Linked DNA regions of Oryctolagus cuniculus. The main gene of each other region encodes a partner of the protein of the gene in region 4 in a complex. Links are inferred from orthologs where the notes say so. Each region holds a gene or a part of one and is shown on either strand. Other genes may lie near its edges. The genes, in order: POLR1B, TAF1C, UBTF, TAF1A, POLR2H and POLR1H.

What was found.
Region 1: TAF1A (region 4) and POLR1B share a complex: the UniProt entries of both Homo sapiens proteins name them as parts of the pol I pre-initiation complex. The link is inferred for Oryctolagus cuniculus from reciprocal best matches to the Homo sapiens genes TAF1A and POLR1B.
Region 2: TAF1A (region 4) and TAF1C share a complex: the UniProt entries of both Homo sapiens proteins name them as parts of the transcription factor SL1/TIF-IB complex. The link is inferred for Oryctolagus cuniculus from reciprocal best matches to the Homo sapiens genes TAF1A and TAF1C.
Region 3: TAF1A (region 4) and UBTF share a complex: the UniProt entries of both Homo sapiens proteins name them as parts of the pol I pre-initiation complex. The link is inferred for Oryctolagus cuniculus from reciprocal best matches to the Homo sapiens genes TAF1A and UBTF.
Region 5: TAF1A (region 4) and POLR2H share a complex: the UniProt entries of both Homo sapiens proteins name them as parts of the pol I pre-initiation complex. The link is inferred for Oryctolagus cuniculus from reciprocal best matches to the Homo sapiens genes TAF1A and POLR2H.
Region 6: TAF1A (region 4) and POLR1H share a complex: the UniProt entries of both Homo sapiens proteins name them as parts of the pol I pre-initiation complex. The link is inferred for Oryctolagus cuniculus from reciprocal best matches to the Homo sapiens genes TAF1A and POLR1H.

The regions. Positions count from the first base shown.
Region 1 is NC_091433.1:113,613,230-113,617,237, reverse strand, and holds the start of POLR1B (DNA-directed RNA polymerase I subunit RPA2), read right to left. Parts: upstream 2,801-4,008; 5' UTR 2,698-2,800; coding exon 2,521-2,697; intron 362-2,520; coding exon 194-361; intron 27-193; coding exon 1-26. UniProt on the Homo sapiens protein: Catalytic core component of RNA polymerase I (Pol I), a DNA-dependent RNA polymerase which synthesizes ribosomal RNA precursors using the four ribonucleoside triphosphates as substrates.
Region 2 is NC_091449.1:65,920,049-65,924,213, forward strand, and holds the start of TAF1C (TATA box-binding protein-associated factor RNA polymerase I subunit C), read right to left. Parts: upstream 2,801-4,165; 5' UTR 2,634-2,800; intron 669-2,633; 5' UTR 668-668; coding exon 530-667; intron 1-529. UniProt on the Homo sapiens protein: Component of the transcription factor SL1/TIF-IB complex, which is involved in the assembly of the PIC (pre-initiation complex) during RNA polymerase I-dependent transcription.
Region 3 is NC_091448.1:19,038,515-19,042,758, reverse strand, and holds the start of UBTF (nucleolar transcription factor 1), read right to left. Parts: upstream 2,801-4,244; 5' UTR 2,556-2,800; intron 1,992-2,555; exon of another isoform or gene 1,862-1,991; intron 1,543-1,861; exon of another isoform or gene 1,404-1,542; intron 341-1,403; coding exon of another isoform or gene 1-340. Other genes in the region: basic salivary proline-rich protein 2-like, read left to right, coding at 1-340. UniProt on the Homo sapiens protein: Recognizes the ribosomal RNA gene promoter and activates transcription mediated by RNA polymerase I (Pol I) through cooperative interactions with the transcription factor SL1/TIF-IB complex.
Region 4 is NC_091444.1:36,937,653-36,939,810, forward strand, and holds part of TAF1A (TATA box-binding protein-associated factor RNA polymerase I subunit A), read right to left. Parts: intron 1,674-2,158; coding exon 1,519-1,673; intron 1-1,518. UniProt on the Homo sapiens protein: Component of the transcription factor SL1/TIF-IB complex, which is involved in the assembly of the PIC (pre-initiation complex) during RNA polymerase I-dependent transcription.
Region 5 is NC_091435.1:93,932,008-93,936,031, reverse strand, and holds the start of POLR2H (DNA-directed RNA polymerases I, II, and III subunit RPABC3), read right to left. Parts: upstream 2,801-4,024; 5' UTR 2,290-2,800; coding exon 2,217-2,289; intron 170-2,216; coding exon 86-169; intron 3-85; coding exon 1-2. UniProt on the Homo sapiens protein: DNA-dependent RNA polymerase catalyzes the transcription of DNA into RNA using the four ribonucleoside triphosphates as substrates.
Region 6 is NC_091436.1:140,424,720-140,428,948, reverse strand, and holds the start of POLR1H (DNA-directed RNA polymerase I subunit RPA12), read left to right. Parts: upstream 1-1,429; 5' UTR 1,430-1,619; exon of another isoform or gene 1,620-1,655; intron 1,656-1,739; 5' UTR 1,740-1,759; coding exon 1,760-1,895; intron 1,896-2,072; coding exon 2,073-2,173; intron 2,174-2,335; coding exon 2,336-2,445; intron 2,446-4,229. UniProt on the Homo sapiens protein: Core component of RNA polymerase I (Pol I), a DNA-dependent RNA polymerase which synthesizes ribosomal RNA precursors using the four ribonucleoside triphosphates as substrates. Can mediate Pol I proofreading of the nascent RNA transcript.

The DNA.
Region 1 (4,008 bases), on a different chromosome or scaffold from region 4:
CCATTTACTGCCCAGCTGATATCAGCCTAGGTGAAAAAGAGAAAAACACTCTTAGGAAGCAGACTACATCGAATGACTTCATGCTTCAGGTTTCAAAGACGGGCGCTCTCAGACGCCAGCACCAAGAAGGCAGAATTCTGTATGAACCCCAGAAGCCATCCGCCCTGTGGGAGCCAGGCGCGGTCACACTCACCGTCAGCTTCCCACGGTAGGTGCTCCTTCGGCCCCGGCATTCTGCTGGGTACACGTTGAACTCTCTGCAGATGGTGCCCTTGGGAACCGTGGGGGGACTGATCACAGCGTCCACGATGGTAAGAGTGATGCGCTCATCTTTGAAAGCGAATTCAAAGGGAGCTATGGCCTGGAATACAATACGCATGATTACACGGCCTGCATTTCCAAGGCACTTTTTCTCTAGGACTCCTGCAAATCCCTGTGTTCCTTAAGCACTGAAGCCCGCAACGCCACCGTGACAAACAGAAGAGAGTTAAGACGACATGCGGTCCACTCTTCACTACGCACTTCAGGCTGCCACGCGTTAACTCGGGGTTGTTCTGTCTGCCATGAGCAGAGCGAGGAGGCTCTCAGGATACAGCTGGCACCAGGCCAACGCGCCTGCTCTCTGACCCCAGCGCCGACCTTCTCCAGTCTGACCCTGCTCAGACAGCAAGGAGAGGGAAGCCTCCTTCCGACTGGGCTCACACTGGCAGCCCACCAGACACAAACAACCCTCCGGCTTAGTGTTAGAATGACAGGAACACGGACGGCGGAGCCGACTAAGAATACACAGGCCATCCGCCCTCATGTGAATTCAACCCAGCTTTTCTCAGTTTTATCTAAGACTGATGGTACTTTAGAACTGAAATGTTAAATATATTTCATGTCTAAGGGATGTAGTGTCAAAACAGGGAGAGGCAATTAGAAGATCTGCTTCGGGGCCGGTGCTGTGGCTCACTTGGCTAATCCTCCGCCTGTGGCACTGGCATCCCATATGGGCTCTGGATTCCAGTCCCAGTTGCCCCTCTTCCAGGCCAGCTCTCTGCTGTGGCCTGGGAGGGCAGTGGAGGATGGCCCAAGTGCATGGGCCCTGCACCCGCATGGGAGACCAGGAAGAGACACCTGGCTCCTGGCTTCAGATCGGCGCAGCGCCGGCCGTAGCGGCCACTTGGGGAGTGAACCAATGGAAGAAAGACCTTTCTCTCTATCTCTCTCTCTCTCACTGTCTATAACTCTACCTGTCAAATAAATTAAAAAAAAAAAAAGAAGAAGAAGAAGAAGAGGAAGATCTGCTTCTCCAGCTCCTGGCTCCGGTCTGGCCCAGCCCCAGGTGTTGCAGCCATTTGGGGGGTGTACCAGTGGATGGAAGACTCTCTCTCTCCTCCCCTCCCCAACTCTGTTACTCTGCCTCTCACATAAATAAATCTTAAAAAAAAAAAAAAAAAAAAAAAAAAAAAGACTCACTCGTGCAAGCCACAGCTGCACTCTCGGCAGGTAAACGCCGCTGAGCCTTGACGCTCACGTTAGTGAAATTCTTTAAAGTTACCGCAAACGCTGACCCACGCTCCGGGGAAACACGAAGTCAAGTCCCTGAGAGCCTCTGTCACAGCTTGCCATCAGCCGATCAGTACAGAACCTCGCCCTACCTGTTCCTGTTAAAGGGCGCCTCACTTGATAGACGGCTGAGCAGCGGGCGTTCAGCTTAGCACTTATGATGCCCACATTCCACCCTGGAGCGCCTGCACCTGCGTCCCAACTCTGACTCCGCTTTCCTGCGAATGCAGACCCCGAGAGGCAGCGGTGATGATCAAGCAGTTGGTCCCTGCCTTGGCCCAGCCCCTGCTGCTGCGGGCATTTGGGGTGGCGAACCAGTGGGCAAGAGCTCCCTCTCTCTTCCTCTCATATAAATAAATAATAAATTTAACAGCAGAATGGTCTGAATGAAGCTTACCTAACGTGTATTTTCATCACAGCTTTCCTGTGCCCAGCAACAACACAAAGTACTTCAATGTATGTTTTCAGGCACTATTTCAAGTTGCAAAATTATCAACAAACAGTACAAAAATGTGAAAAAGGCTGCACCAGACAGCAAAAAGAACAGGTGTTTATGTCTGAGAACTGAAATCGAGAGGCAGAACACTGTCTTATTGGATCTCAGCTGGGAACGCGCGCATCGGGCAACTCAAATGTTTGCTGTTCTACGCACGGAAAGTCACAAGTAAATTTTAGTGAGTAAATGAATCTGTGAATTAGGAATCCCCGAAGGATGAAACTAGTTGTGTTCTGAAAAAATCCACATGATGCACACATGAATTCTGAGCCGCAGAATCGAAGGATCCACTCCACAGAAGCTAAGCAAAACCGGAGCCTCCCCGGCGCCTCGCCGGGACCCCGTCGCCCGCCCGCCTGCGGGACCTTCTCCCCCACGAGCCCCCAGCCTCATGCACCCTGCCCAGCCCCCTCCTCCGCCAGCCTGCCGGCGCACACAGCCCTCCGAGGCGCCGGGGGAGGCACCGCGCTCACCTGCACCGCGTGGCCGAGCCCCTCGCGCACCGCGTAGTTGAACGACTCCACGTGCGCCCGCGTCAGCTCCTGCAAGGCCGCCTTTTGCTGCTCCCGCGGGATCCCGTAAGAGGGGTCGGTCAAGTGCTTTAGGCTAGGCCCGCTGGGCAGGGTCCGCCACCGGCCAACCGGATCCATGTGTCCGCCGGAGCACCGAGAAGCCAGCGGCAGCGCGCCACACGCAGGAGTCGCTGCCGGAATCCCGGCGCCCGCGGCCTGCTGGGAAATGTAGTTTCTTCATGTTCCGCCCGCCTTCGGCCCTCCGGTGTTATAGGGTCGACTTGGAACCAAAACCATGGAGCGAATGGACCGGTTAGAACTGTACAGAACTAGAACAGGGCGAGAGCGCACCTTCAACTCTCTTCCGCCCCACTCAAATCCTTCCTTCCTCCGCCCCCAAATACCGGAAGTGAAGCTTGCTGCAAGCCCAATTTAGCTGGTAACCTCTTTGGTCCTTCTCGCTCAGTAAGGATCGCCGGAGAGCGGACTTGGGGAGACACTCAGCTCGAGTTGTGGCTTCAAGGAGAGCGCGGTCTTGTATTGAGTTCCGGGCTCTAAGCTTTGCCCCTGGCCCAGCCCTGGCTGTTCCAGACATTTGGTAGTGAACCAGCAGATGGGAGCTCTGTGTCTGACCGTCTGCCTTTCCAATAAAACATGTTCTTCCGCTTTAAAAAAAAAATATTTATTTGAAAGAGAGCGAAAAAGAGATCTTCTGTCAGTTGGTTCACTCCCTAAATGGCTGCAACCCAGGCCACCGTCAGGAGCCCAGAACTGTTTTGTTTTTTGGTTCTTTTAAAAAATGTATTTATTTTATTTGAAAGGCAGAGTTACAGAGAGGGAGAAAAAGAGATCTTCCACTTGCTGGTTACAGAGAAAGGGGGAGAGAGGTCTTACTTCCAATGATTCATTCCCCAGATGGCCACAGTGGCCAGAGCTGTGTTGATCCAAAGCCAGGAGCCAGGAGCTTCTTCCGGGTCTCCCATGCAGGTGCAGGGGCCCAAGGACTTGGGCCATCTTCCACTGCTTTCCCAGGCCATAGCAGAGAGCTGGATCAGAAGTGGGACAGCCAGGACTTGAACCAGCACCCATTTAGGATGCTGGCCCCACAGACAGAGGCGTAACCTACTACACCATAGCACCAGCCTGGAGTCCAGGACTCTTTATCTGGGTCTCCTGTGTGGGTGGCAGGGTCCCAAGCACTTGGGCCATCTTCCACTGCTCTCCCAGGCACATTAGCAGGGAGCTGGATTGGAAGTGGAGCAGCCAGGACACAAACTGTTGCTCATATGGGTTGCAGTGTGGCTTAACCCACTGTGCTATAATAGACAGCCTCTGTTCTTCCATTTTAAAAAATGAAACCCATTGTGTGTATTGTATTTTTATTTATCTATTTAGCTAGTTGGTAGACATTTGGGTTGTTTCCACTGTTTGGCTATTACAAATAATGCT
Region 2 (4,165 bases), on a different chromosome or scaffold from region 4:
GGGACACAACCAGAGTGCGCCACGTGAGCAGAGCGCGCCCCTGGCCAGGCCCTGCGCAACGCCAGTCTCCGAGCGCCTCGGTCCGCCCTCACGACCACCCTGCAGTCAGCGGGAGCTCCGACATGGCTTCACTGAAGAGACGGAGCCACAGGGAGCCCAGCTGTCAGCGCGGCGAGGAGCGGGGACGTGGAGGCCAACAGCCGGCTCTAGACTGCGCGCCTGTGACCCTGACCCAGCAGGGAAGCCCCCTTCCGCACCGGCCGCTCCGAGTCCCGCTTCCTCTGCCCTCCGCTCAGGAGACCTCGTCACCTGCTCCGGGAGCCCCAGAGGACCCTCCGCCGCCCGCCAGCCCGAGACAGCTCAGCACAGACACTCGGTAGGGGGAGGGGCCCTCGCAGGGGGCCACCCTGAGCCTGCCCTGCTACACCGTCTCTCCTGACCGATGAGCCCCCGAGGGCTCAGCCCCACCAGCCAGCTCGGGACTCCGAGGACCCGGCCAGAGTCCCGGCTGTCTCCTGCCCCTCCTCACCTTGGCGTCCTGGGGCTGGGGCTCCGGCAGGGTCAGCGCGTCTCTCCAGCTGCACATGAACGACAGGTCGGGGCCGTCGCTCAGCCCCAGGGGGCCGGTGGTAAACGAGGTGGGGCGGAGGCAGCCGGGGAAGTCCATCCTGGAAAAGAAGCGCCGGCCTTCGCAGCAGACCTGCACCCGGCACTGGCCAGGACCGGCGCGGCCCAGGAGGCACCGGCCTCCGGGCTCCCCGGGGAGGACCAGGTGACACAGAGCAAGCGCGCGTGCAGCCCTGGCCCGAGGAGGGCTACGTGCCTTACCGGACGGTGGACAACCAGCCTCCCGGCCCGGAGGAGGGGCGTGCCCGCAGCCAGGTGAGCCTCCTGAGGCCAGCGACAGAGCCTGACCCCAGGGAGGGAGGCAGCCTGCGGAGAGCTGCCAGGGGCCCTGGGCACTGTCTGAGGGACACCTTGGCGAGCGGACGAAGGAGGAGGAGCGGGCCGGCTGCTAGACGCCCTTGGGCCTCCGGTCACACACCTGCAGACGCCTCCCCTTCGGCTCAGTCCCAGGACTACGCCAGGACCGAGCCCAGCAGCCGCCCCCGGCGCCTCCCGGGCGCGTACTACGCGTTGACCGAGAGCAAGTCCGTGGCAAAGGGCTTTGAGAGGCCAAGGTTCCCAAAGCAGCAGCCGCCACCTCAGCCCTCTCTTAATGAACACAGCACCACAGCGAGAGCAGCGCCCCCACACCTGGGCCCGCGGCTGCACACGTGGCGCCAGGCCCCTCCCTCGTCCGTGTCCGGGCGCGGGGACCCGCTCAGGCCAGCAGCTGCCCGAGCGCCGGAGCCACGCCGCAGCTCTGCGCCTCACTCTCCGGCGCCCAGGAGCAAACGCCGGCACGGGGCCTTGGCAGGAACCCCTTCCTGCAGACCAACTCCCAGCGGGCTTCATCAGTTCACCGCGCGCCCCGGGGCGGCCAGGCACCCTCAGCACCGCGCACACGGCCCGCCGCGCAGCGCTGGGGAACCCTTGCCCGTGGAATGAACAGCTGTTCCTCGGGGCCTGTGCCGGCCCCACTGTTTATCCGGGCACCGGCATGGGCGTCTCCGAGGGCAGGTGCTGGGTCTGTTGCCACCGTCACTGTTTGGGGACAGGAGCCGCCAGTGGCGGGAACGGTGGAGGCACCCACTGCAGGCACCAAGCCCCCAGGCCTCCCGGGGAGGGGGAGGGGCTGTATCCCTGACGGGTCAAGGGTCACACACAGAGAAGCCTCCTGCTCATGTCTGGTGCCTGGGCTCCAACCACACTCCTTAAGGCTCTGCCTCACCACAGGGCCTTTGCACATCCCCTCTCCAACTGCGCGCCAGGGCCCGCCCTCCCCACCTCAAAAGCCTGGATTTCCAGTCCAGGAGCCTCCCTTAACCCCTTCAATTCTGTTCTCCCCCAAACACCCGCTGTCCTGCCAGAGCGGGTAGCAGCCTGTGGCAGATACGTAAGGATGCTCGGGTAGGTGTGGCGAGCGGTAAAACCGCCCCCTGCGATGCTGGCATCCCACGGGGGCGCCGGTTCGTGTCCCGGCTGCGCCACTTCCAATCCAGTTCCCTGCTCGTGCCCCTGGGAACGCTGTGGGAGATGGCCCCAGTCCTTGGGCCCTGCACCCACGTGGGTCGAGACCCGCAGGAAGCTCCCGGCTGCCGATCGGCCCAGGCCTGGCTGCTGCAGCCGTCCGGGGAGAGAACCAGCGGATGGGGACTTCTCTAACTTTCAAATAAACAAGATGAGCCTCCCACAGCTCCCAGGGAAGGCAGGCTCTCACTCCAGCGCCTAGGGCATACCCACAACATCGCACACAGAGCCGAGAACAAGCGGGGGCGAGAGGAGCCGCGCGGCGCCAGACAAGCCCGGGCAGCCCGAGGGCGCCCACGACCCCCGCCAGGCCCCCGCCAGGCCCCCGCCGGGCCCCCGCGCGCTGCCCGCCGGCCTCCCGCCCCGCCGGGCCTGCAGGAACGCCAGGAGGGCACCGCAGAGCCCAGGCCGCCGCGGCGGTGGGAGCCGGACGCCCCTCCCCTCACTCGCCGGCGCGGCCCCGGCCCCCCGACACCCCGGGCCTGCGCGCACACACTTACGTGGCTCAGCTGGGGCGGGGTGCCCGGGAAACGGGGCGCCGCGCGACGCTCGCCAGACCCTCCCGCCGCGAGAGAACCCGAAAGCGTCGCTCCAGCTACCGCGCTCACGCCGGGACCCGCCACACAGAGGAATGAACGGTCTTCCGGGTCTGGGCGGAAGTGTTCCCAGGGAGACAGGAAGTCCCGCCTCCCGGCCCGGCTCCATGCGCGCTCTAGAGCACCACCTCTCGGGAGGAGAGGGAACAGCGCACTGCATTGAAAATACTAAAACCCTATGGAGCCTCAATCCTGGATACTAAGATGAGTGGAGTTCGAATCCCGCCTCTGCTTCATAGACTTCCTCTGTCTGTCTGCCTTTCTTTCTCCCTCTCTCTACCTTCCTTCCTTCCTTCCAGATTTGTTTATTTGAAAGGCAGAGTTACAGAGAGAGAGGAAGAGAGAAAGGTCTTCTATCTTCAGGGTCACTCCCAGTTGGTTGCAATGGCTGTGATGGCGCCAGGCCAAAACCAGGAGCTTCTTCCGGGTCTCCCATGTGGGTTCAGAGGCCCAAGGACTTGGGCCATCTTCTGCTGCCTTCCCAGGTGCATTAGCAGGGAGCTGGATGGGAAGAGGAGCAGCCGGGGTTTGAACCTGTGCCCATAGGGGGAAGGTGGCATGGAAAGCAGAGGTTTTACCTGCTAGGCCACAGCGCCAGCCCATGGGCTCCCTGTGTCCCAGGGTTAGTCCATCAGCTCAGCAAACACGAGCACCTACTACGCATCGGGCCCCGTCTGGGTCAGCAGGTGTCCTGCCGATTGTCCTTAAATCCTCGTCTGAGTGCCCCGGGAGTACCTGAGGCTTTCCCAGGGCCGGTCGGGCAGGGACGGCCTCAGGCAGCCGTACTCACACTGCAGGGCGGCAGCTGGGGTGCACTTCAGTACAGTTGGTGGCTGGGTCTGGTAACCTTGCCCGTGGGTTCCCAGGTGCCGTGGGGCCTTGCTTGGACAATCACCGTCAGTCACAAGTCTGAGCCCATCACCCTCCCCCGTGGGTCTCCCCCCCAGCGTGCATCAGGCTCACCTGGAGGCCTTGTTGGGTGGCTGGCCGGCTGCCCCCAAGTTTCTCATCCATTGGGTCTGGTGCCTTTCCAACAGATCCAGGTGACGATGATGATGGTGCCGGCCCAGGGACTACACCTACGGAAACACTGCTTTGAACAATCGATTCCCAGGTTCTCAAAAGCCCTCAGAAAACGTGTCCTGTGAAAAAACTATGCATGGATTTGTGTGTGTGTGTGGACAAATTATTTTGCTTTTATGTTGAAGTTATTCCTACGCATTTTTTATAGTATTTTATTTTCAGATTTATTAGTTCACTCCCCCAAATGGCCGCAACGGACACGGATGGGCCAGACTGAGGCCAGGAACTTCTTCGGGTCTCCCACATGGGCTCAGGGACCCAAGCGCTTGGGCCACCTTCCACTGCTTTCCTGGTCATAGCAGAGAGCTATGGGCACCGGGTTCAAGTCCCAGCTGCCCCACTTCTGATCCAGC
Region 3 (4,244 bases), on a different chromosome or scaffold from region 4:
GGCGTCCTCCCCAGTGCCCCGGTCTGCTCGCGTCCAGACCCTGCTCGGAGGCCGCCCCGGGTCTGCGCCGGGGTGTCCGCCGCTCCCGCGGGTCTCTCCCTGGCCGCCCCGGCCCCGACCCCCAGCGCGCGCCCTCAGCCGCCTCGGTTACCCGGCGCAGCGCGACCTCCGGGCTTCCCGCTCCGGCGGCTCCCTCCCCGGCTCTGAGCGGCGGCGCCCTCCCCCGCTCGGCCGGGCACAGCCGCAGCTCCCTCCCGCGGCGGCAGCGGCTCCTCCTCCGGGCGCGGTGGCGGCGCTGGGGCGGCGGCTGCTGCTGCTGCTGTGGCGGCGGCGGCTGTAGCTGCTGCCTGCTGCTCCTCGCGGCGAAAAGCACAAAGCACAGCGCCCTCCGCCTGCAGGCAGCCCGCCCGCCGCCCGCCCGCCGGCCCCGGCCTCAGCTCGCACACCCCCCGCCGCCGCCGCAGCCTCCGCCGCCGGAGCGGGGAGGAGGAGGGAGAAGGGAGGAGGAGGAGCGGGAGGGGGGGCGGGAGAAGCGGGGCAGCGAGCGCGTCCTTCCCCGTAGAGCGCACACCGACCCCCGGGGAGCGAGCGCCAGCCCGCCCGCCTCGCCGGCTCCGCTCCCTCCCACAGCCTGCCCGGGCGGGCTCCGCGGGGGGCAGCTGGGAGGAGGGGCGGGAGCTGGGGGGACCCGGGCGGCCGAGGCGGAGGGAAGGAAGGAGGGGAGGGGGGTGGTGGTAGTGGTGGTGGTGGTGGCGGTGGCGGCGGCGGCGGCTGCTGCTGCTGCTGCCGCCGGGGAGGGGGGGGGGCCGGGGCAGGGAGACACGCAGCCGCCCGGATGGCGGCGGGGCTCGGAGCCGAGGCGGGCGGGCGGGCGGGCGCCGAGAGCGACCTCGCCAGACCCGCGGGGGAACTAGCAGGCTCGGCCGGCGCGGGAGGGAGGGCCGAGGCGCGGCCGCGGAGAGGGTGCCCGGAGGGCCCCCCGGCGGCCGAAGAGGCTCGGGGGTGCCCGCAGTGCAGCCCCGGACCTCTCCTCCACGGCCTCCCAGCCCAGATCCGGCCTTCCAAGCCGGCCCTCTCCCGCCTCCCGGCGCGGGCGGTTCGCGCCCACCTTCCCCAGAGCGTGGCTACTCGCTCGGGGTGCCGATCGCGGTGCCAAGCTTCGGCGCCTACTTCGCCGCCGAACGGCACACGCGAAACTCGAAAAGCAAAATATCCTTGCCAAGGGGGAAAAAGAAATTCCCTTCGCTCCTTACACCCAGGAAGCGGCGAGGAGCCACGGTGGGAGCCGGTTCAATCCAGCCCGGCATGGCTCCCCAGGCCTGCCTGGGCGCATGGAGATCGGCGGCGCGGCCGCTCGGAGCAACCCCTCTCCCCCGAAATCCGTGGCGCCGGGGCTCACTTACCGAGCGTGTGGATGGGAGCGCGGGCCGGGGACACCTGGGGGCGCGGCGGGCCGGAGAGCCGAGCCGCAGCTCCGCCGCAGCCGACTCCGGGGCAGCGAGTCGCCAGACAAAGCCCGAGATGGCGAAGCGGAGCGACGGCTAATGGCGAGCCCCACGCGCCGCGCTCCGCCCGCCCCGCTCCGCCCGCCCGCCTCGGCGCAGCGCAGCGCCGCTCCGAGCGCTCGCCCGTCAGAGCCGCCTCGGCGCCGCCGCCTCCCGGGCCACCGCGGCCTCGCCTGGCCCCTCCGCCTCCTCCGGGTGGCTCAGCCTCACCCCTTCCCTCCCACCGCTCTCGGGGCTGCGCGAAAATTGGGGGGAAAAAAAGGAAAAAAATTTTTTTCCTCTTTTTTTTTTTTTTTTTTTTTTGCAGGGCGGGAGTGCGGAGACTTTGGGTCTTTTTGCCCCCAGCTCGCACTCACCTGCGGAGCCGCCGGGAGGGCCGGGGGTGGGGGCGCGCGGGGCTGGAGCCGGCGAGCGCGGGTTGAAAGCCAGCCAAGCTCTGCAGCGCCCGACCCGGGCGTGTACGCCGCCGCCAGTCCCCGCAGAGAAATCGTCCTCCTACCCCCGCCTCCATCGCTCTGCGTTTCTCTTCCAATCAGCCGGTCGCTTGGCGGCTCCTCCATTCTCCGGCCAAGCCCGCTGCCTAGAGCGAGCTCCACTCCTCCATCTGCTCGCCCGGCTCCTCGCTCCCCTGCCGGGGCCGGCGAGGCGCCGTGGGGCGGAGGGGGTTTTGCGAGGGAACCTGCCCGCTCCCCGCTCCCAAGGCTCCGGCCCCGCCGCCGCCCGCCTCCTGCTTCTCTCCTGCGCCTTTCCAACTCTCCCCTGTCGCCACTGGCGTGTGTCTGAGTGTGTGCGCGGTTTTTCTTTTTCTTTTTTCTTTCCTTTTTTTTTTTTTTTTTTTATTGCTCTTTGCTTTTGCAACCCTGAAGCCAAAGCGAGGGGGAAGTAAAGGGGGGGGGGTGTTATAAAAAAAAAAAAAGAAAGAAAAGACAGAAAGAAGCTCTTAGATGAGCCATCTCGGAAGACCGGAGCGGCAGCGCTCCTCGCCCGACCTCCGAGCCCCGCGGGGCCGTCCCGGGTTTGGAGCGAGCCTCCTTCCCAGCGCCCCCCCACCTTCGCCGGGCTGAGGATACGTGGAGTCCGAGCAAAAAGTTCTCCCCTCGGGTCGTCGTGAGGGGTGGCAGGGTGGGAGCTGGGAGGTTTCCAAAGCAGCAGCAGCCGTCTCTCCTACCCGGCTTCGGAAGTGGGCCGGGGTGGGAAGCGAGAGCCAGGTCCCGGCGGGCTTACGCGGAGAGGCTTCCGGGGGCCCAGTCGGTACCGGAGGCCGCGCCGCGCGCATCTCCCCCTCGCTCGCCGCCGCCTGTCCCCTGCCAGCTCCCCCTTTAATTTTTTTTTTCCTCCTCTCCCTTAATCTAATTTCTTCCAACTCCACCTTTGTTGTTACCGGCGTCACGCCCGGACCAGCCAATCCCCGCCACGCAATCAGCTTGTCAAAAAGGCTCGACCAGCCCGGGGAAAGCAGGCCGCGGGCGCTGCCCCCCGGCGGCGGTGGGGAGCCGCGAGGGGCGCCCGGCACCCGGGCCGCGCGGGCCGCGCAGAGCGTCCGGCCTCGGCCTCCGCTGCCGGCGCCGGGGTTGTCCGACTTTGCCTTCTTAGCTCCGGGGAAGTGTTCTCAGGGCAGGACGCAGGGAGCCCGCGGACAGCCGAGGGCGCTGGCTTGCGGCAGGCCGGCCCACGGCTTGGCCCTTCGTCCGGGACAGCGCCATGACGCCTGGCTCCCACCCCGGCCCCGCCGCTGCCCGCGTCTTGTTCCGCTGCGTCCCCGGGCCCCTGTGGGCTCTTGGCTGGCGCGCAGCCTCCCTCCCTCCTCGCACGGGCTCTCCGCCGCGGTAATTCCTCCTGCCTCCTGGGAGAGATGAGATTCCTTTCCCAAGACTCCTGCCACGGTTCTCGCCTCGGGAGGAGGGCGCCGCCGGGATCTGGTGTGTCTGGGTTTTTAGCGGGCAGGACATGAGGAAGATGCAGACTGACCATCATGCGAATGAAGTTGAAGCTTTAAGGCCTGTGCAAGACCTTGGACTTGACTTTGCATCCCGTAGTTGGTTCTTTTTTATTTTTTTGGTTAAAGAGCACTCCGACCTCCACAGTTCACCTGCAGGCCCTCACACTTGATCTGCCTTTGATTCACTCTGGGGACATTTTATGCAGGATCAAGCCATCTCAGGCTGCACCGAAATCGGGGCATGGAACCAGTTGCTATTTCTGACAAAGGCTTTGGGATCAAAAGTCCTAACTTTTTTTTTTAATAGTGTGAGTGTTTGGGCAAGTTTTAACCCCACCTGATCCTAGTTTCCGTATCTGTGGAATGACAACAGCAGCCTCACCAGGCATCCGAGGGTCAATGGGAGAAACCTAGACCCCCAAGAAGGTTCCAGATCTGCCACACGCAGGTCTGGAGTCCAGGTGTCTTGGCTCCTGGCCCTGAACTTCTTGGCTGGGTCAAGGGGCTTTTCGGTAAAGTGCTTCGGAATAAAGCAGGATGAACGTGAATCATAAGAATGCTTGTTATTGATTCCTTGGGCAGCAGAACTGCTGGCGCCCTTCCCATTTGGAGAGCGACTGGCTTGGGTCGCACCCATCACAGCTCTGGTGCGGTCAGGAGCCGAGGACTTGGGCTGTGGGCCAGCACACCAGGGAATTTGCCCTTGGCCCTTTCTCTCTGCCCCCCTTTGCCTGTTCGTCTCCTCCTCTCTTCTCGTTTTCTGGTGCATGCCTTCACACAGAGCCTTGGCATTCGGTGAA
Region 4 (2,158 bases):
CAAAAAAAAAAAAAAAAAAAAAAAAAAAAAGCCCAATAAACTACAAAATTTTAACTTGTCTTAAGTCTACTAGAGAACTAAAGTCACAGGACAATCAAGAAGCCAGAATTCAAGGAGCAAAGGTCCCTTCAAGGAGAACCAGGCCTGGCTTGCCTTTAGCAGAGTTGGGGAAGAAAGGCAGGCACAAAGCAAAGGCAGACTACAACTATAATCTGAATTTGCTGAATGACAGGAACCAGAGCAAGCAGAGAACTCAGCTCAACTCCTAAGCAGGGTGACCCACCCATGCAGGAACACCCTGACAGAAAAGATGTGTCTACTTTCAGGCATGAAGATGCCTGACAGTCATGAGACACTTTAGATTTATTAGGCACTTTGATGCAACCTTCACTTAATGGCCACAACAATGCTGTGAGCAAATGAGGATAGGTGTTCTGATGCCCACTTCACAGAGAAGTTTCCCAAACGGTCTCTGACCTAAGTTACGCAGCAAGTGAACCTAAGTCATTGGACATTGTATAGACACTAAAACCTGCAGTTACCTGTACTAGACAATTCTATACTCACAAAGTAGCAGAAATTAACAGTCCAAATCACACTTCTGTTCCTTACCATCAGTGTATCAGAGAGCAATTTTTAAGTTACTGACCAGTTTAATAATTCCTTTCTTCCATAAAGCAACATTTTTCCTAATCCTAGTAACTAACTGAAACAGTCACTGAGAACACTAATTCCAAAATAATACAAACCATACCCAAAAGCGAGCTAAAGAATCTCTCTCAGATAATATATGAGAAATATATAAAAATATCTTTTTTGTAGCTATTTAAACACCAAATAAATACAATCAATAACTATCTACTGAAATACTCCCCTATCGCAGATGGCTTTCTAGTGGCCATTGTCTGGTTTACTTTCCTCATTTCTGAACAGATTTTGCAGTAGCTTCATTTTAGTACTTGGCTATCTTCATATTTCAGTGGCACAAAGCAGGTCACAGTTTTATCAGCCAAAATGTTCCATAAAGAAAAGATCAACTTCTTTTAAGAGGTATTCTTTCTCTGAAGGGGAGAAAATATTTCCTCCTTACAGGAACAGGTAAGTAAACACCATATAGTCCTACCGGATAACAATGAAGTCAATAAAGACCATTTTTGTGTTTTCAATAAAGTAGGCAATCTCAGTAAACTTTCTATACAGCAGGTCAAATGGTCACTCTGTGGAAATAGGATGCATCGAGCATCTTAATGCCCCTAACAGCACTCAAGGCAGACCATGGAGACACCCACCATCAACGGCGTGAAATCTCTATTCCTATCCCACAGAGGCTCCTTACAAGCACACTGCCTGTCCCAATTCAGGACTCATTCTTCCAATCTATAATAGTTACTTCCTAAACATCTAGTATCTATCCTTAGGCAGCTACTAGGCAAACTCTAAGATGAATGGTGGTCATACTACATGATTTCAAAATCAGCCAAAGCACTGTCTAGATAAAAAGAACACAAAAATGTGTACCTTTTCCTAACAGTATTCCAGCTACAAAAGCTTTCTCACAGGCCAAAGCTGTGTCTTCTTTCCAATCACTTTTTGCCCAAAAGAAGCTGAAGTGAAAGCCTGGCCACCAGTTTTTCCTGGAATTCCACTCTTCTTGAACCCATGCAAGATGATTCCTGAAAAAGATGTCAAAAGGCAAAGTCAGTCATGGCCATGGGAATAGATCTATACTGTCAGAGTTTACATTTACCTGGAGTCTAAGCAAAGATGACAAGGGGATATTTTCAAACTAACTTCTGAGCTTGGTCATGACATAGCACAGGATGGGCAGTAGCATGAAAGCAAATCCTTCTTTGTTCTCTGTGATCCCCACATCTCATCTTCAATTATAGCAGAGTGGTTAACAGCATAGAATCCTGGATTCAAATCTCAGACCTTCCAGTTATGACCAACGCGACCCTGGGCTGGTTGCTGAACCTGTTCTATGGACCTCAATTTTCTTAAGGGTAATACAATTAATGATACCTATCTCCCAGCACTGTTACTAGGATTAAACTGGCACAGTAGTTTAAAGAACTACTAGCTGCATAATGTCTACTACATAGTAAATATCCCCAAAATGTCAGCTATCATTACTACTTAAAAGCTACTTTAGGAGAGG
Region 5 (4,024 bases), on a different chromosome or scaffold from region 4:
ACCTGAAAACAGCAGCAATATCTGGGCGTAAAGAATAGCTGAGACGGCAAGAAGCCTCTGTTGATTCTCTGGGTTCAATACTTACCCAGGTCCACAGGGTAAATCTGAATGTTTACATCTAAGATGAGGTCCATCTTGAAAGATTCGCTCTCACAGTGCAGTCGAGACACTGGGGAGAAGCAGAGAGACGGACGATGTAATTACCAGGGCAAAGGCAGATCTGACAGATCCCAGTTTGGGAATTACAGGCAATCGACTATTTAATGTAACCTGATCTACATCCACTGGCCTCTTATGTGCTCTCACAGAAGTGCAGGCACAGGGCATATTGGGTAAAGCCGCCACCTGCAGCACTGGCATCCCAAATGAGTGCTGGTTCGAGTCCCTGCTGCTCTACTTCTGATCCAGCTCTCTGCTATGGCCTGGGAAGGCAGAAGATGGTCCAAGTCCTTGGGCTCCTGCACTCATGTGGGAGACCTGGAAGAAGCTCCTGGCTTCGGATCAGCCCAGCCCATGCCATTGCAACCATTTGGGGGAATGAATCAGCAGATGGAAGACCTCTCTTTCTCTCTGCCTCTGCCTCTCTGTAACTCTGCCTTTCAAACAAGTAAGTAAATCTTAAAAAAAAAAAAAAAAAAAAAAAAGTGCAGGCACTGCAGTGCAGTGGGCAGAGCTGCTGTGTACGAGGTGGGCATTCTGTATCAGAGCACCAGTTGGAAGAGGCTGCTTTGCTTCTGATCCAGCTCCCAGATCACTTTGGCTTCACCCAGCCCCAGGCACTGAGGCCACCTGGGGAGTGAAGCAGTGGATGGAAGACCTCTTTCACTGTCTCTCCCTATCTCTGTCTTTCAAATAAATAAAACAAACCTTAAAAAAAAGAGAGAGAGAGAGAGAGAAATGCAGGCTCGCTCAGAACCAGATATGCATGGAGGACAAAAACCATGGCAGGGGCCAGCGATTGTGGATTAGTGGGCAAAGCCCCACCTGCAGTGCTGGCATCCCATATGGGTGCCGGTTCAAGTCCCAGCTGCTCCACTTCCAATCCCTGCTAATGCACCCGGGAAAGCAGAAGAGGATGGCCCAGGTCCTTGGGCCCCTGCACCCACGTGGGAGACCTGGAAGAAGCTCCAGGAGCCTGGCTTCAGATCAGTGCAGCTCCGGCCATTGTGGCCATCTGGGCAGTGAACCAACGGATTAAAGACCCCTCTCTCTCTCTGTAATTCTGCCTTTCATATAAATAAATAAGTCTTTAAAAATTAATAATTGGGGCTGGCACTATGGCGCAGTGGGTTGACGCCCTGACCTAAGGCGCCGGCATCCCATATGGGTGCCAGTTCATATCCTGGCTGCTCCACTTCCAACCCAACTCTCTGCTGTGGCCTGGGAAAGCAGTAGAGGATAGCCCAAGTCCTTGGGCCCCTGCACCGTGTGGGAGACCTGGAAGAAGCTCCTGGCTCCTGGCTTCAGATCAGCACAGCTCCAGCCGTTGTGGCCATCTGGGGAGTGAACCAAAGGATGGAAGACCTTTCTCTGTCTCTACCTCTCTCTCTTTCAAATAAATAAAATTAATCTTTAAAAAATAATAATAATTTTTTAAAAAAGCATGGCAAATGAATGGAATCCTGCCCCCAAATCAAAATATTCTAGCAGCAAAAGACAGAGTTCTAGGCACTACCTGGGTGATTTAGAACCTGGGTCTGGGCAAGGGACTTCTTCAACCAAAGGTGTCCTCTCCCATGCTAAGGGGATTATCTCACTGAATAACTGAGACTTGAAAAACACCTCGGGCGCCTGGCCTGCACCGCGCAGTTAACTCAGAGGGTCTGACATCAGCTGGAGACTCGACTCCACACAAGAATTCGGGCTCATAAGTCAGACTGACCACGGTGCAGCCTTGGGTGGCAAACTTACCCTCCAGGAGGAGAGGAAGGCACCACCTACCTCCTGGGAACTCTCGAGAGCACTAAATAAGGCAAAATGTGTGTAAGTGAGAGGCGACTGCAGAGACGTCCAGGAGCCTGCCACCACCATGGCACTGGGCACCGCGTGTGTGCAGCCAGGGAGAGCTCGGCGTCTCGGCTTTCTCATCCATAAAAGGTCTCCTGGGAGAGGCCCCTACATCAGGACCTGCCGCAAGGGCAGGCCACGTGAGCCGGAGCCCAGGGGTGTGTCCCGAGGAAGTTAGTTTCTTCGGCCAAACCCCACACCTTACCTACCTCGGTCAAACTTCTTGCCTTCCGGGTCAATGTCTTTCACATCGAAAATGTCCTCAAACAGGATGCCCGCCATCGTGAGGGGGCCACGAGAGCAGCGGAAACGCGAGGAGCGAGACCACAACTACGAGTTAGCCCACTCTCGCGTGGAAAAAGAAGACACTAGAGCAAAAGGCGCCTGAACGCTGGCGGCAGAGCAGCAGGAAAGCGCATGCGCACCAGCTTGCAGTACGGCAGCCACTTCCGCCGCCTCCACCTCGGGGATTCTCAACTTCCGCCCCGATAGATTGCTGGCGAGGGAACACGCATTGAGGGCGTGTCTCCGAGCCAGGTGACTCCGCCCAGGGCGGGAACGCCCCAAGCACCACCTCTGGCGGAGGTGGCTCGGGTTATCGCGCTCCGCTGGGGCTCCGCTTCGCCCTCTCCAGAGTCCGGGCCCTGAAGCCTGGAATGCTTGGAGACTTAACCCAGGCCGAGACCTTGATCTTTGCCCCAGAGAAGCCGGGCCCTAGCCCTACCCTGCCGGTCCTCGTGTCCCCCGAGGGCATAGTCCGCGCCGGGGACGGGTGCAACAAAACTCCGCCCCCAGAGCGCTAGCCCAGCAGGACGTAATGCCTAGTCCCTCAACTGGCACCGAGGGCCCCCAGGTCGGCGGGGGCTGGCTCGGCCCTGCTGGACGTCACCTGAGCCGGGGCCGTCCAGGATATCACTCCGGGGGAAAGGAAAGCTGGCACTGCCCTCCTCTGGCGCTGCACCCTCCCCCCACCACTGCCCTCTTCCCCTGGGCCCTGCTCGCTCCTTCCGCCTGCCACAAATCCCCTCACACTGCCCTACCCGTTAGCAGTGCCCCCTCAGCGTGTGCCGCGTGTTCCCCCAGCACTGCCCTCCTCTTGGATCACTTTCCTGTCTCTTCCTCCCGGGTGCTGGCCCCCTTCTCCCACAACCTCCCTTCCTTGGCCTCCTGCCGCCCTCCTGCACGCCGCGTCTGCGCTCGCTATCTCGAACGCTGCCCGTGCACCCCGTGCTCACCCCACCCTCTGTTCTCTCCTTCCCCGGACCCTGATAGAGAAAGCCAAACCCCAGCAGGCCGTTTCCCCAAGGCGGCGAGACGTCAGCAGCTCCTGGGGTTTTCCTTGGGCCCTGCCAGGAGAAGCGACCTCTGCCCACCCCACCCCACCCCCGACGCCTGCCTTCCAGGCACTAGAACTCCCTTCCCTCGGGCCTTTCTTTCCCAGTCCCCTTGCCCGCAAAATCCGGCGGGTCCGGTATTGCAGGGGCACCTCCTGAGGCTAGCCCCGAGCAAGGGCAGGAGCCCAGAATGGCCCTCCGAATCCCCCGCAGAGGGGCCTTTCCAGGCCCGCCTGGGCCTCCAGTCCTCAGCAGAGAAGGCAGCTGCTCTCACGAATTAGCAGCCCTGCAGCCCCGAGCCCGAAGTCCTAAGCGCCCGGCGGCTCCGGTCCCTCTCCGCCTTGCACGGAGAGCTGTGGACCGGCTCCACGTGCCAGTGGCCCTGCCCCGCCCCGGCCGCGGGCGCCCCTCTCAGTCCTTCTCCGCCGGCAGGCGCGTTCCAGGCGCCCCCTGCCGCCTCTCCGGAGCCTGGGAGGCGGCCCCGTCGCAGACCCTAGCCGGGCTAGGCCGGCCCCTCCGGATGGGCTGGCGGGCGGAGCAGCGCAGAGGGCACCGCCCTCGGCCCGCCCGCCGAGGAGGGGACGGGAGCGGGAGGCCGTGCCAGCGGCGCCCGCCCGGGGCCCGCCGCACTCTGCTCTCGGCCGCCCGGGCTGCGGGGACCGGACGGGGACCGACCGGCGCTG
Region 6 (4,229 bases), on a different chromosome or scaffold from region 4:
ATACTTATTGACTGTAATGTGAGCTTTGGTTGGTTTGAATGTCAAGTTAATAAGGGAAAGCTGAGAAGGATGTAGGGATAATTTCAGTACCTGTTTTCAAAGGAGACAGAGAAGTGAGAATAAAGTGTCTACCATCATAACTTCAGCAACAGACTTCCATCTGTTAAGACAGATAAAATGGCCGGCGCCATGGCTCACTAAGCTAATCCTCTGCCTTGCGGCGTCAGCACACCGGGTTTTAGTCCCGGTCAGGTCGCTGGATTCTGTCCCGGTTGCCCCTCTTCCAGGCCAGCTCTCTGCTGTGGCCAGGGAGTGCAGTGGAGGATGGCCCAAGTGCTTGGGCCCTGCACCCCATGGGAGACCAGGAGAAGTACCTGGCTCCTGCCATCAGATCAGCGTGGTGCACTGGCCACAACGCGCTGGCTGCGGCGGCCATTGGAGGGTGAACCAACAGCAAAAGGAAGACCTTTCTCTCTGTCTCTCTCTCACTGTCCACTCTGCCTGTCAAAAAAAATAAAATAAAATAAATAAATAAAATGACATCCGATTTCATGGTTAAGTGATATTAGGGGCTTGTGATTTCCCCAGCATTTCCTAACTTTTTACTAGGGTTGTCTTTCCTTTATGGCAGGGAAAGACAGACAGGTGCCTCTCTCCCAAGTAAATTCACATCTGTCCTTTAGAAAAGAGATGGCTCCAGAGCTTGCACACGCAGGAGCCCCACAACAGCTACAACTGGATGGTGGTGGGAGGGCTAGAACCAGGAAACTCGTATAGAAACTGTTTCTTCAGGTCAAGTCTAAGCTACTGACGCGTGAAAATGGTGAGGTCTTCTAAAGATCCTTATTCTCATGTTTTATAAACAAGGAGCAACTCAATTAACCACCGACTGGATGACCACGACTGGAGGTGAGGGACCAAGTGGAAGACTGAAAGCCAAACTCGACCCAGGTCTTAGCAACCCCTGCCTACAGGCGTCCCCGGCCTAACGCCAGGTCCCTGTGGTGTCTGATGCCCTCCGAGGTCCTCGGCCCAGGGTCCCTGTGGTGTATGACCCCCTCCGAAGGCCTCGGCCCCCTCCCAGGCGTGCCCCTTCCGTCTTTCCCGTCCGGCCAGCGGAGCCCAGCGAGTCTCAGCACGCTTAGCTACACCCTCTGCTCCGCGAAAAAAGGGCCGCTGGGAACGGCGGGACCTGTACTTTTCTAATCCAACGAACTCTTGTTTTCTGGGGGCCCCCGTGAGTGGGAAGCCAGTGAGTCAGATGCGAGACAAGGAAGAGGAATACCCCACTACTGTGTCCAGGTGGGAAAAGGAGCCGGAGGCGCAGTGCCAGCGACTCGCCTTCCGGTCCACCACCACGAGACCAAACGGCAAGTGACGCAGCAAAACGCGCTCCCAGCCCGTCTGCCCGCCCTAAACCCCCCGCTGTGGCGCGCGAGGAATAGTGACGTCACAGCAAATTGTGCGCCCGGACGCGTCGGCGCTCTAGCCCTCGGCGCGCTCGCTGCCCCGCCGCTTGCGCACGGCCGGCGCTCTAGCCCGCGCTACCCGGCCCCTCTCGCCTGCCCTGGCGGGGTTCCGCGTCGCCGGCTGGTTGCTTGGTGGCCGAGGCCGGAGACGTACGTGGGAGGAGGGGTCGGGTTATCTGTGCCTAGGTGCTGGGGCAGACAAGGGAGGCCCCCTGCGTGGGGAGGGTGCGGCTCTCTGGTGTCCTAACGAACTGGTCGTTCCCTTTCCAGCATTCCGTCGCGTGTCCGTCATGGACGGCGCCAGCACCTGCCCCAGCTTTCAGTCGGACTTGGATTTCTGTCCGGATTGCGGCTCGGTCCTGCCCCTGCCCGGAGCTCAGGATACGGTCGTCTGTACTCGCTGTGGCTTCTCCATCCACGTGCGGGGTGAGGGGCGGGGGCCGGTGCGCGGTTTGGAGACCGGGGAGGGAGAGCCTTAGAGCGGGCGCCTGGACGTCTGGTCTGCGGAAGAACCCTGAGGGAGGCAGGCAGGCCTGGCGGGGGCGAGGCGGCCGTCCGCGCCCTCCGCTGGCCTCCACAGCCGCTTCTTGCTGCCCCGTGCAGACTTCGAAGGGAAGGTCGTGCAGACTTCCTTTGTGTTCCACAAGCTGGGGGCAGCCGTGCCTGCGTCGGCGGAGGAAGGGCCCGAGTTCCAGGGACCCGTGGTGAGTTACTGAGATGGAGGGCTGGCTGCAGAGAGGGGCGTGGAGAGGAAGCGGAGGGGCGAGTGCGGGGTCCGCAGAGTGTTGCACCGACTTCCAGGAAGGCGGAGAGCCTGGGAAGTGAGGGGCGCGCCCCCGCCTCCTAACGCACCCCTTCCCGGCCAGGTTGACAGGCGCTGCTCTCGCTGTGGCCACGAGGGAATGGCGTACCACACCCGGCAGATGCGCTCAGCCGACGAGGGGCAGACCGTCTTCTACACCTGCACCAGCTGCAAGTGGGTCTCCGCTCCCCTCCCTCTGTCTGCGCACTTGACATGTTCAGTGGCGTATTCTTGTACCACACACTTGCTTCCATGATTCCATCCCTAATAGGAAATACTTGTCTTTTGTATATCCAGTGAACTCAACCGTTTACTATTTTGTTTTTTCATTAAAAAACAAGAGAAGGCTGGAGTTGTTCACTGCAGCCAAGGTAGCTTGACCATGGTAAGAATTAGTCACACGGGATTTAAAGAACAGCAGCTTTCTGAATGGTTTGCAGAATTTAGTGTTCTGGTTCCACTAGAATATATCAGAGTGTTGTGGGCCGGCGCTGTGGCGGAGGAGCAGGTTAAGCTGCCGCCTGGGACACCAGCCTGGGTTCATGTCCTGACTGCTGAACTTCCAGTCCCGCTCCCAGCGAATGTGCCTGGGAAAGCAGTAGAAGATGGCCCAAGTTCTAGGGCCCCTGCACCGACGTGGGAGACCTGGAAGAAGCTCCTGACTCCCGGCTTCCTCCTGGTCCAGCCCCAGTATTGCTGCCATTTGGGGAGTGAACCAGTGGATGATCTCTCTGTCTCTCCCTCATTTCTTTTCCCCCCAAGGAAATCTTTTATTTGATAAGTACAAATTTCGTAAGTACAGCTGCAGGAATATAGTGATTCTTCCCACCATACCCACCCCACTCCCAGCCCACCTCCTCCCTCTCCCATTTCCAGTCCCCTGCTCTTGTATCTCCCTCTCTGTAAATCTGCCTTTCAATCAAATTTTTTTAAAAAAAAAATAAAGGATATATCAAAATGTAGCTCGCTTTTGTTTATCCTGTTTGGAATTTTATTGGACTTTCTGAAATGAGAATTGATGTATTTCTCATTAACTTTGAAAAATTACCAGCCATTATCTCATTTAATACTGTCTTTCTCCCATGTTTTTAATTCTCACATACTGGAGTTCTAATTGTTTATTATACTTTCTCCTCATCCTCCCATTTTCCTCACCCTGTCTAAAAATTTATTCAAAAGGCAGAGTTATAGAGAGGCAGAGCCAGAGAGAAGTCTTTCATCATTGGTTCACTCCCCAAATGGCTGCCACAGCCAGAGCTGGGCCAATCCGAAGCCAGGAGCCAGGAGCCTCTTCCTTGTCTCCCACGTAGGTGCAGGAGTCCAAGTACTTAGGCCTTCTACTGCTTTTTTTTTTCCCTTTGCCATAGCAGAAAGCTGGATCGGAAGTGGAGCAGCTGGGACTCGAAGCGGCGCCCATCTGGGATGCCGGCTCTGCAGGCAGCAGCTTTACTTGCTACTCCACAGTGGTGGTGGCCCATCAATCATTTTTTACTTCTCAGTTCCTTAATTGTATTTTAAATCTCTTTTTATTTTTTAAATGTGTATTAGATATATCAAACATGTTTACACCATAGTAGTAGGGGCTTCAGTTTTAACTTACCTGTCTGGATTTATCAGTGTGAAGATGGCCTTTCCTTTCTTGGAATTTACCAGTGGATTAAAAATATTTATGGTCATATATCTTTCCTATATGAGCAGTTTTTAATATTTATAAGGTCCAGTTAAACATTCTTTTTTTCTTTCATGGCTAGTGCCTTTTGTGTTCTAAGACATCTTTGCATACTTTGTCTTAATTCATCTGATTTATTTTTAATCCCAGCATTTTCAGTTGTTGGAGGATTTATTTAGGGGAGCCAGGTCTCCACAGTATCATAAATAAAAGGCCCTTTGAATGTTGGAATATTTCATCTTACATTGCTGGGAACTCCTCTGATCCAGTGTAACAAGTCTTTTTTTTC